2 linked regions of the Macaca fascicularis genome follow. The protein of the gene in region 2 interacts with the protein of the main gene of each other region in a pairwise test. Links are inferred from orthologs where the notes say so. Each region holds a gene or a part of one and is shown on either strand. Other genes may lie near its edges.

The links.
Region 1: the proteins of CDC42EP2 (region 2) and ARHGAP26 interact in binary tests that used the Homo sapiens proteins (3 or more experiments, as listed by UniProt). The two-hybrid records come from large-scale screens. The link is inferred for Macaca fascicularis from reciprocal best matches to the Homo sapiens genes CDC42EP2 and ARHGAP26.

Annotation. Positions count from the first base shown.
Region 1 is NC_088380.1:149,276,793-149,280,535, forward strand, and holds the start of ARHGAP26 (rho GTPase-activating protein 26), read left to right. Parts: upstream 1-1,173; 5' UTR 1,174-1,559; coding exon 1,560-1,713; intron 1,714-3,743. UniProt on the Homo sapiens protein: GTPase-activating protein for RHOA and CDC42. Facilitates mitochondrial quality control by promoting Parkin-mediated recruitment of autophagosomes to damaged mitochondria.
Region 2 is NC_088388.1:9,054,528-9,058,270, forward strand, and holds the start of CDC42EP2 (cdc42 effector protein 2), read right to left. Parts: upstream 2,799-3,743; 5' UTR 2,741-2,798; intron 1-2,740. UniProt on the Homo sapiens protein: Probably involved in the organization of the actin cytoskeleton. May act downstream of CDC42 to induce actin filament assembly leading to cell shape changes. Induces pseudopodia formation in fibroblasts in a CDC42-dependent manner.

The DNA of each region.
Region 1 (3,743 bases), on a different chromosome or scaffold from region 2:
GTTATCATCTAGGCTAGTGCCTGCACATAGCAGACCTATTTAAAAAACAAACCAACCCAAACAAACATGAAGCCCCCATGTAGCTGAAGGAGGGCTGCTGATTCCAAGACATAGAGATAATTTATTCAAGGATAGTCCCTATCCTCCAGGAGTTCACAATTCAGCACTAGACACCCTGTGGGACCCAGCCTGACAAGTGCAACGAGTGAGATGCCAGAATTGAGTCCTGCGGTCGAACAGAGGGACTACAGGGCAATGCACTGGGCGTGGGAGGTCGAGATGGCTCTGGGAAAGGATCATTCATTTATTCCACAAACACTTATCAATCACCATAGCACACATAGCACATAGGAAGCGCTCAATATCTGTTATTAAATGCCAGCCACTGTGCTAGGTGCCAGGATGCAACAGCGGACAATAAAATTGCAGGGGCACGTGCCCTCGTGGGGCTTACCGTGTAGCGAAGGATGACAGGCAGTGGACGGAATTATGTAAAATTGTGCTAGATGCAGAGCAGGAAAATAACAGGCGGCTGAAATTCTAGTAAGGATGTGAGCCCCTTCGGCTGAGGGGAGCCGTGGGCGGGTTCTGAGCAGGAGTGGCCGTGAGGGAGACGGACCGTAGGGGGCGGGAAGACTGCAGGCAAGAGCTGGTAATTTTAAGATGCAAATAACATTTTTTTCTGCCTGACTGGAAGAGGAGCGTTTGGTCGCTCGGGATTCTCCCGGGGCAGGGGGCTGCATTTTTAGTGTAAAATCGGTTGCCCAGCAGTGCAGGGCATGTTGTGGTGAACTGCAGCCCTAGTTCCCAGGTTTTTCATGCTTGGCACATCGAGGCTCCTCGGCCCCCAGGACCAGCAGACTCCCCATGCGCGGCTCGGATTCGGGCCGGAGCAGGCGGGCAAGGGTGCTGGAGCGGGTGCACAGCAACGCTCACCCCTGGGTTTCGGGGTCTGCAACGCCGGGCGGGCAATAGGAGGCGGAGTTTGCGCTGCGGACCTAGGCGTTGGCGAGGGCCACGCCCCCAGCCGCAGACCCTGCCTCCAGGCCCCTTTGATTGGATCAAGACCGCGGAAGGGCCGGGCGTCCCCGGGCGGCCCGAGGGTCGGGCAGGGGAGGGTGCGCTGATTGGCCCGGCGGGGATTAAGTCATCGCTAGCAGGTTCGAGCGGCCCAGACGCCGGCGGGGCGGCCGAGGCTGCTGTGAGAGGGCGCTCGAGGCTGCCGAGAGCTAGCTAGCGAAGGAGGCGGGGAGGCGGCGTCTGCACTCGCTGGCCCGCTCGCTCGCTTCCAGGCGCCGCTGCGGGTCGGCGCTGCGTTTCCTGCTCGCGAACCACTCCGTTGCCCGCGCCGGGAGCAGCAGCCCCTCGGCCGGCTCCGGGCTCGGTTCGGGAGTCTTGCGTGCCGGCGGTCACCGCGCGGGGAGCGAGCTAGCGCCACACCTGTGGAGCCGGCGGCCGTCGGAGGAGCCGGTCGGGGTCCTGCCGCGTGCGTGCTCTGGGGAGCGGGCGGCCCGGGTCCCGGGGGAGGCGCGCCCCCGCGGCTGGGCGCCGCGGGCACTATGGGGCTCCCAGCTCTCGAGTTCAGCGACTGCTGCCTCGATAGCCCGCACTTCCGAGAGACGCTCAAGTCGCACGAAGCAGAGCTGGACAAGACCAACAAATTCATCAAGGAGCTCATCAAGGACGGGAAGTCACTCATAACAGCGCTCAAGAGTGAGTGTCCCGAGCCCCGCGGGGACGCGGCCCCGGGGCGGGAGGGACTGGGAGGTGGCGCTCAGCCCGGGTTGCCCGCGCATCCGCCGGGTTTCTGCTCCCGGTACACTGGGGGACCGGTGTCGACGCCTCCGAGGCAGGAAGGATACGTAAAGCGGGCGAACCCGCAACCATCAGATGAAGAGAGAGACCCGTCGCTCCGCCTTTTTGCGTTCGGGGATGGTCGGGAGGTGACCGAGCGCGGGTGGTGCTCTGGGGCACCGCGGGTGGGCGTGCGCGGCACGCAGGTGTCCCCAGGAGTGGGGCCAGAGTGCCCAGCGCGCCGCAGCCTGCGGGCAGATCCCATCGTGTCCACAGCTCCAGCTCCCTTAGGGGCAGAGTTGCTCAGCCTTGGGTGCCCAACCGTGAGAATGGAGCGTGCTCTGCCGAGGGGGCGCTGCCTCCCCTTGGGAAAAGGCGGGTTGTGACTGCTTCGCTCCCTGTACGCAGCTCCAGCCCAGTCAGGCCGCCGGGTTCCCTGGGTGGAATGCTTGGTTTTAGCTTGCGACTCCTTGGAGTATTGGCAGCCAGTAATCTCTAAATCTAGAATCAGTACGTGCGCAGGTTCTGATTCTTGTGTTTAGCAGAAGGTGATAGGGGTGGGAGTAGAGAATCAGAGTGTTCCTTTACTCTAAACTGTGGGCGAGGGTTTAAAAATAGAATGTGCATATCCCAACTCTCTCCCTCTCCTGCTCCCAAGCTCTCCCTTTTACCTCTCCCATTATCCTTGAAAACGTAAAGGTCTGAGAAGGAATGTCCATAGTCCTCAGAAAGAAGTTTAAACGTATTTCAAACATTCTTGGACCTTTTGTAAAACCATTTTTGCGTTTTTTCCTTTTGGTACAAGGGGAGAGATGCAATTTTGCATTCTGCTTCACTTTTGCAGAGCCAAAGAGTTTCTTTTTCTGGCCAAATAAGCGTGCTCTAGGGATGAGTGCTTTGGATTGTGAGAACGTTTTTGGTGCCTTTTCAGTCTCCCCATTTAAAAATAACTCAGTTCATCTTTTAGTTTTAAGAATCAGGAACCACATGAAGGCAGATAGTGGGATTGTCTCTGACTCTCTTACTTTATCTTTTTCTGTGATGGATTTGTTAGTAGGTGATACCTTTCAGCTAAGAAAGGTTGCCTTAGCAGAGTAGAGTCCTAGCTATGAGAATTGTTCCCAAGCCTCTTTAAAGGGCACTTACAAAAGTCAGGTGCCTGAGATGTCGTTTTGTCAGCTTGTTGCTTCTAAAAATGAAGAGAGAGACAATGGAATGCCAGGGCAGCTCAGAGTGCCTATCTTTTGGGATGAAATGAACACAGGACTGTGATGTGATGAGGCTTCTTAGAGGCGGATTCTCAGGCTGTGCCTTACCTGAAACATATGAACAGACTCTTCCTTTGTCAATGATCAAGGCCATTCTTGGTTTAGGGGACGTGGGTCCCTGGTTTGGAGTAAGTTGGGGGCCCACTCACAGGTTGGGCCCAGGAATTTTGATTGAACCTCAGGCTGGCTTTATTGGGTTCTCTGCTTCACTCAGCAAACTTTTGGTGTGCTTGTGGTGTATTGGGTACTGCAGTGGGCACTGCAGTGGGCACTGCACTGGGCACTAAGGGTGTAGCAGTGAATATTTTGCTACCCCTGTGCTTACAGAGGTGTACTTCATTCCAGGCACTCTTCACCTATAATTATCTCATGTGCTTAGATTCATTTTGCAAATGAGAAAACAGAGACTGGGGAAAACACTTCCTCTGAGTCACACAGCTCTAGCAGCAGGACTAGAGCTTTTGAATCCACCTGGTTTGAGCCAGTGATGGAGTCCCTGCCAATGCAGAGCTCTTATTTCTGCCCCATCTCACTTGCCCGGAATGGAACCTTTTGCACCAAGCCCTAGGATTTGGACTTGTGTTTTCTATTTTGGCATTGAATCTGAGGAGGGTGCCTTTGGGTGACTGGCAGTTTTCCTACTACTATTTTTTTGAGGGCAAGAATTCTTTGGTAGGAAGG
Region 2 (3,743 bases):
CTATTTTTAATGTAGAAAAATAAATAGCTATGAAGGGGTGTCATACTGATTTAACAGAAAAAAGAAATGAAGCCAGCAGTCCCTCTGCTTGAGGGTGGGGGATGCATGTGGGACCTCATTGGTCCGGTACACACAAGCCCAGATGTAGACTCAGCATAAAAGGCAAAGAGAGAAACTTGTCCAAGGTCACCCAGTGAGTAAGGGCAGGGTGGGAATTCAAGCCAGATGTGCCCACTCTCCTGTACACCCCACCCCCAGCCCCAGCCAGGGCTCACCAAAGGTGGCTCTTGCCAGTTCTTTGCCTCAGTTTTCATTCTGGACAGGGTGAGGGTGGGGGTGAGGGGGTTGGGAGGAGGGAGCAGGAAGGAGGAAGGAGGATGCAGGAGAAGCAGAGTCCAACTGCACCCCCACCACCAGCTGAGGCCCTTGCTCAGGAAACCCCACCCCAGGACCGGACACCCGGGTCAGTCGTACTGAGCCACAGAGGCCGGACATCTTGCCCCTCCCAGAGCACCTGGAGCTTAACAGGAAACAAACGAATAACTTTCCCATGGTAGAAATCCAGCTCAGCTTGCAAGGAGCTGGGGGGAGGGTGGGGACGCATGAGCACCCCGAGGTCTTGGAATCCCGTCATGCATTCATCAACCATGCCAGGCCTGGGGGCCATGCTGACAAACATGCAACTTGTCGCTCATTAGGAGAGAAGTCCTGGTGGGGCTGACTGGTGGGATGTGCCCAGAGCCTGGGCCAGGTCCTCCCCACACCCCCAACCCCATCACACAGCAGTGCCAAGACAGCCTGAGTGTTTCCACAACAAATTGGGCGTCCCTGACAGCTGTCTCACTCACAGCCAGATGTACACACCCAATTCCAGATGTGGGGAGAACTAAGGGTGAGGCCAGCATCAGCGACCCAGGGGAGAGCTGGGAATTACAACCCTCACACCGGAAGAATTCAGATTTGGCAACCGCAAGACCCTAGGATCCAGCCTGTCACGCACAGTTTCCCATTTTAATACTTCTAGCCACAGCATGGTGGGGTCATTACCGCCCTTTACAGAAGTCAAAGCTGAACCTCAGAGATGTTAAGTAACATTGGCGAGGTCATCCAGTTAGGAAGTGGAAGAGTGGGTACCCAGCCTGGTCCGTGTGGCTTCCATGCAGTGGGCCACGCCTACCTCCATAATATGGTTGGGGAGCGGGAGAGAAACAGCTAGGCTGGGAACAGTGGGTCCCCAGACCTCCTCCATCTACATTCTGACCTTTGGCTGCCCCCATCTGCCCAACTTTCATGTGTCTAGAGATATGAGAATGAGCTCTCCATCAGGACAGGGCTATGCGGGCTGGGAGGGGAGCTCCCTGCAGCAGTAGGGGAGCAGATAGGAGCATCCTAGCTCTCTGTGATTGCCCTGGACAGGAGCCCTGGACCTCCCAACGAGAAAATGACTTCCGGCAGGCAGGGATCCTCCAATCATGAGGAATATTAGGCCACCTCACACCCCCCTCCCCCCCAAATCAGGAGACTGTCCTTAAATCCGGCTCCACCTGGGACTTCCTCTGTAACCTTCAGGAAGACGCCTCTCCTCTCTGGGTCTCACCTTTCCCATCTATAAAATGGGCTGACAATGAAGCCACCACTAGAGGGCTACTGGAGATCCCACTGCAATATTGCAAATGAGAGCACCAGTGTACAACAGCGGGGTTCAGCGGGTTACTGTAGGTTCTATCATTCATTCAGCAAATATCTACAAGACCTTCCTTCCTCAAACACTTCGGTTCTCCGGGGCCAGTGCTTTGAACAATATAAAAAACGAACGGCTGCTGGCCCCAGGCATCCACCTCCTCCCGCCCTCCTAGACCTCGCGGATGCAGAGTCCCTCTAGCCGGCCGCGGGGTCTCCGGGGTCCCCGTGCCTCTGGAGAGGCGCTCGGCTCCGCGGCCGCCAGGTGGCGCGCGTGCTCCCTTGAGCGCCCCGTGTCCCGGAGGATTCCGAGAGCGCACCGGGGTCTCCAACGCCCCTCCCCCCGGGCTCCAGGCAGGCGCTCCCCAAGGAGCTGCGCGTTCAAGTACCAGACGGGGATTGCCTGCGAGATCTTTTTGCTTCGGGGTTTCTGGTCCCACAATCGGAGAAAAAGGAGGCGATTGGGGACCCTGCCCTAGTCTCTAAGCTCTGGGAGGAACCGCCCCCGTGCTTTCCGGCCTGGGCGATGTCCTAGTGTCCGCTTGGCGCAGGGCCAGAGCTCGGGCGTGCGGGCCCCCGCTCCTCCCACGGGTCCGGCTCCTTAGCTCCGGCTCGGGTTCCGGCGCCGACCCCTCCCCGTTCCTACCCGGGCGCAGCCCAGCCCAGCACGGATCCGTTTCAGGACACTCGCGGCCGCAGCTAAAGATAGGAGGACACCTCACCATCGGCTAAAAATATGGCCCCCAGCCCCGGTGGGGACGCTGGGCGGCGGGGCACCCCTGGGTCTCGGGAGGGGGGCGGGGGCCCGGGTACAGAATGGAGGGCAGAACGGGGAATTCGGGGTCGGGATGCGCGGCGCCCCACGGACCGTGGCGGGCACGGGCGAGGCTGCGGGCACCCACATGCAGGCGGGAAACCCATGGAGCCCTAGGCGCCCTCGAAAGGACCTGAGCGAGGTGAGAGGCAGGGCCAGGGCGCGAGCTGGGGCGGGGCGCCACAGAGATGGGCCTCTCGGGGGCGGGGGGGCCGCGGAGTTGCGAAAATCCAAGCCTGAACTCACCGTGAGGCAAGCAGACGGCGGACTGGCGGACAGCAAAGTCTCAGGAGCTGGACAGCGCGGCTGCGGAACCCGACGGGCGGTGAACTTACAGAGCCCCCCGCGGACCCCGCAGCCCCGCCCCGGCCCGCGGAGCCAATGCCTGGGCCGCGCCAGCCAAGCCCCTCCCCATCCCCGCCCAGGCCCCGCCCCACTCCGGGCACCGCCCGGGGCTCCGGGTGTGGGAGGTGCAGCTCCCGGGTCCAGCGGTCGCGCGCGCCCTGGGGTCCTGTCCTGGTTCGGGCGGCTGAGGTCCGTATGGCTCAGGGTGGCCTCCCGGGACTCCGGCTGCGCCCATGGGAACTAAAACCCTCGGTTTTAGAAAGGCCGAGAGACAGGCTCCCGGAAGACCGAATTCTTCAGAAATCGCAGAGAGACCTTGGACAGGATCCTTCCCTGCAGGGCTGGATCGGGGAGGCGCTGGCACAAGTATATTCAGTGACTTCCTGGGAATGAATGAGGCCTTGGAAGCGCCTACGTTAGAATACTACAAACTTGGCCGGGCGCGGTGGTTCAAGCCTGTAATCCCAGCACTTTGGGAGGCCGAGACGGGCGGATCACGAGGTCAGGAGATCGAGACCATCCTGGCTAACCCGGTGAAACCCCGTCTCTACTAAAAAATACAAAAAACTAGCCGGGCGAGGTGGCGGGCGCCTGTAGTCCCAGCTACTCGGGAGGCTGAGGCAGGAGAATGGCGTAAACCCGGGAGGCGGAGCTTGCAGTGAGCTGAGATCTGGCCACTGCACTCCAGCCTGGGCGACAGAGCGAGACTACAAAAAAAAAGAATACTACAAACTTACATACAAGCGAGTTGATGAGTTTACCTTCCGCGAGAAAAGAGAATATGGGAAGGCAGAGGCCGCGTGGCCTGGACCCCCGTCTTTGCTGTCAGGCTTCCAGAGTGAAGGTGGGGCTCATACTCAGACTAGTTCCTGGTCCATTCGTTCATTAAGTCAGTCAGTCATTC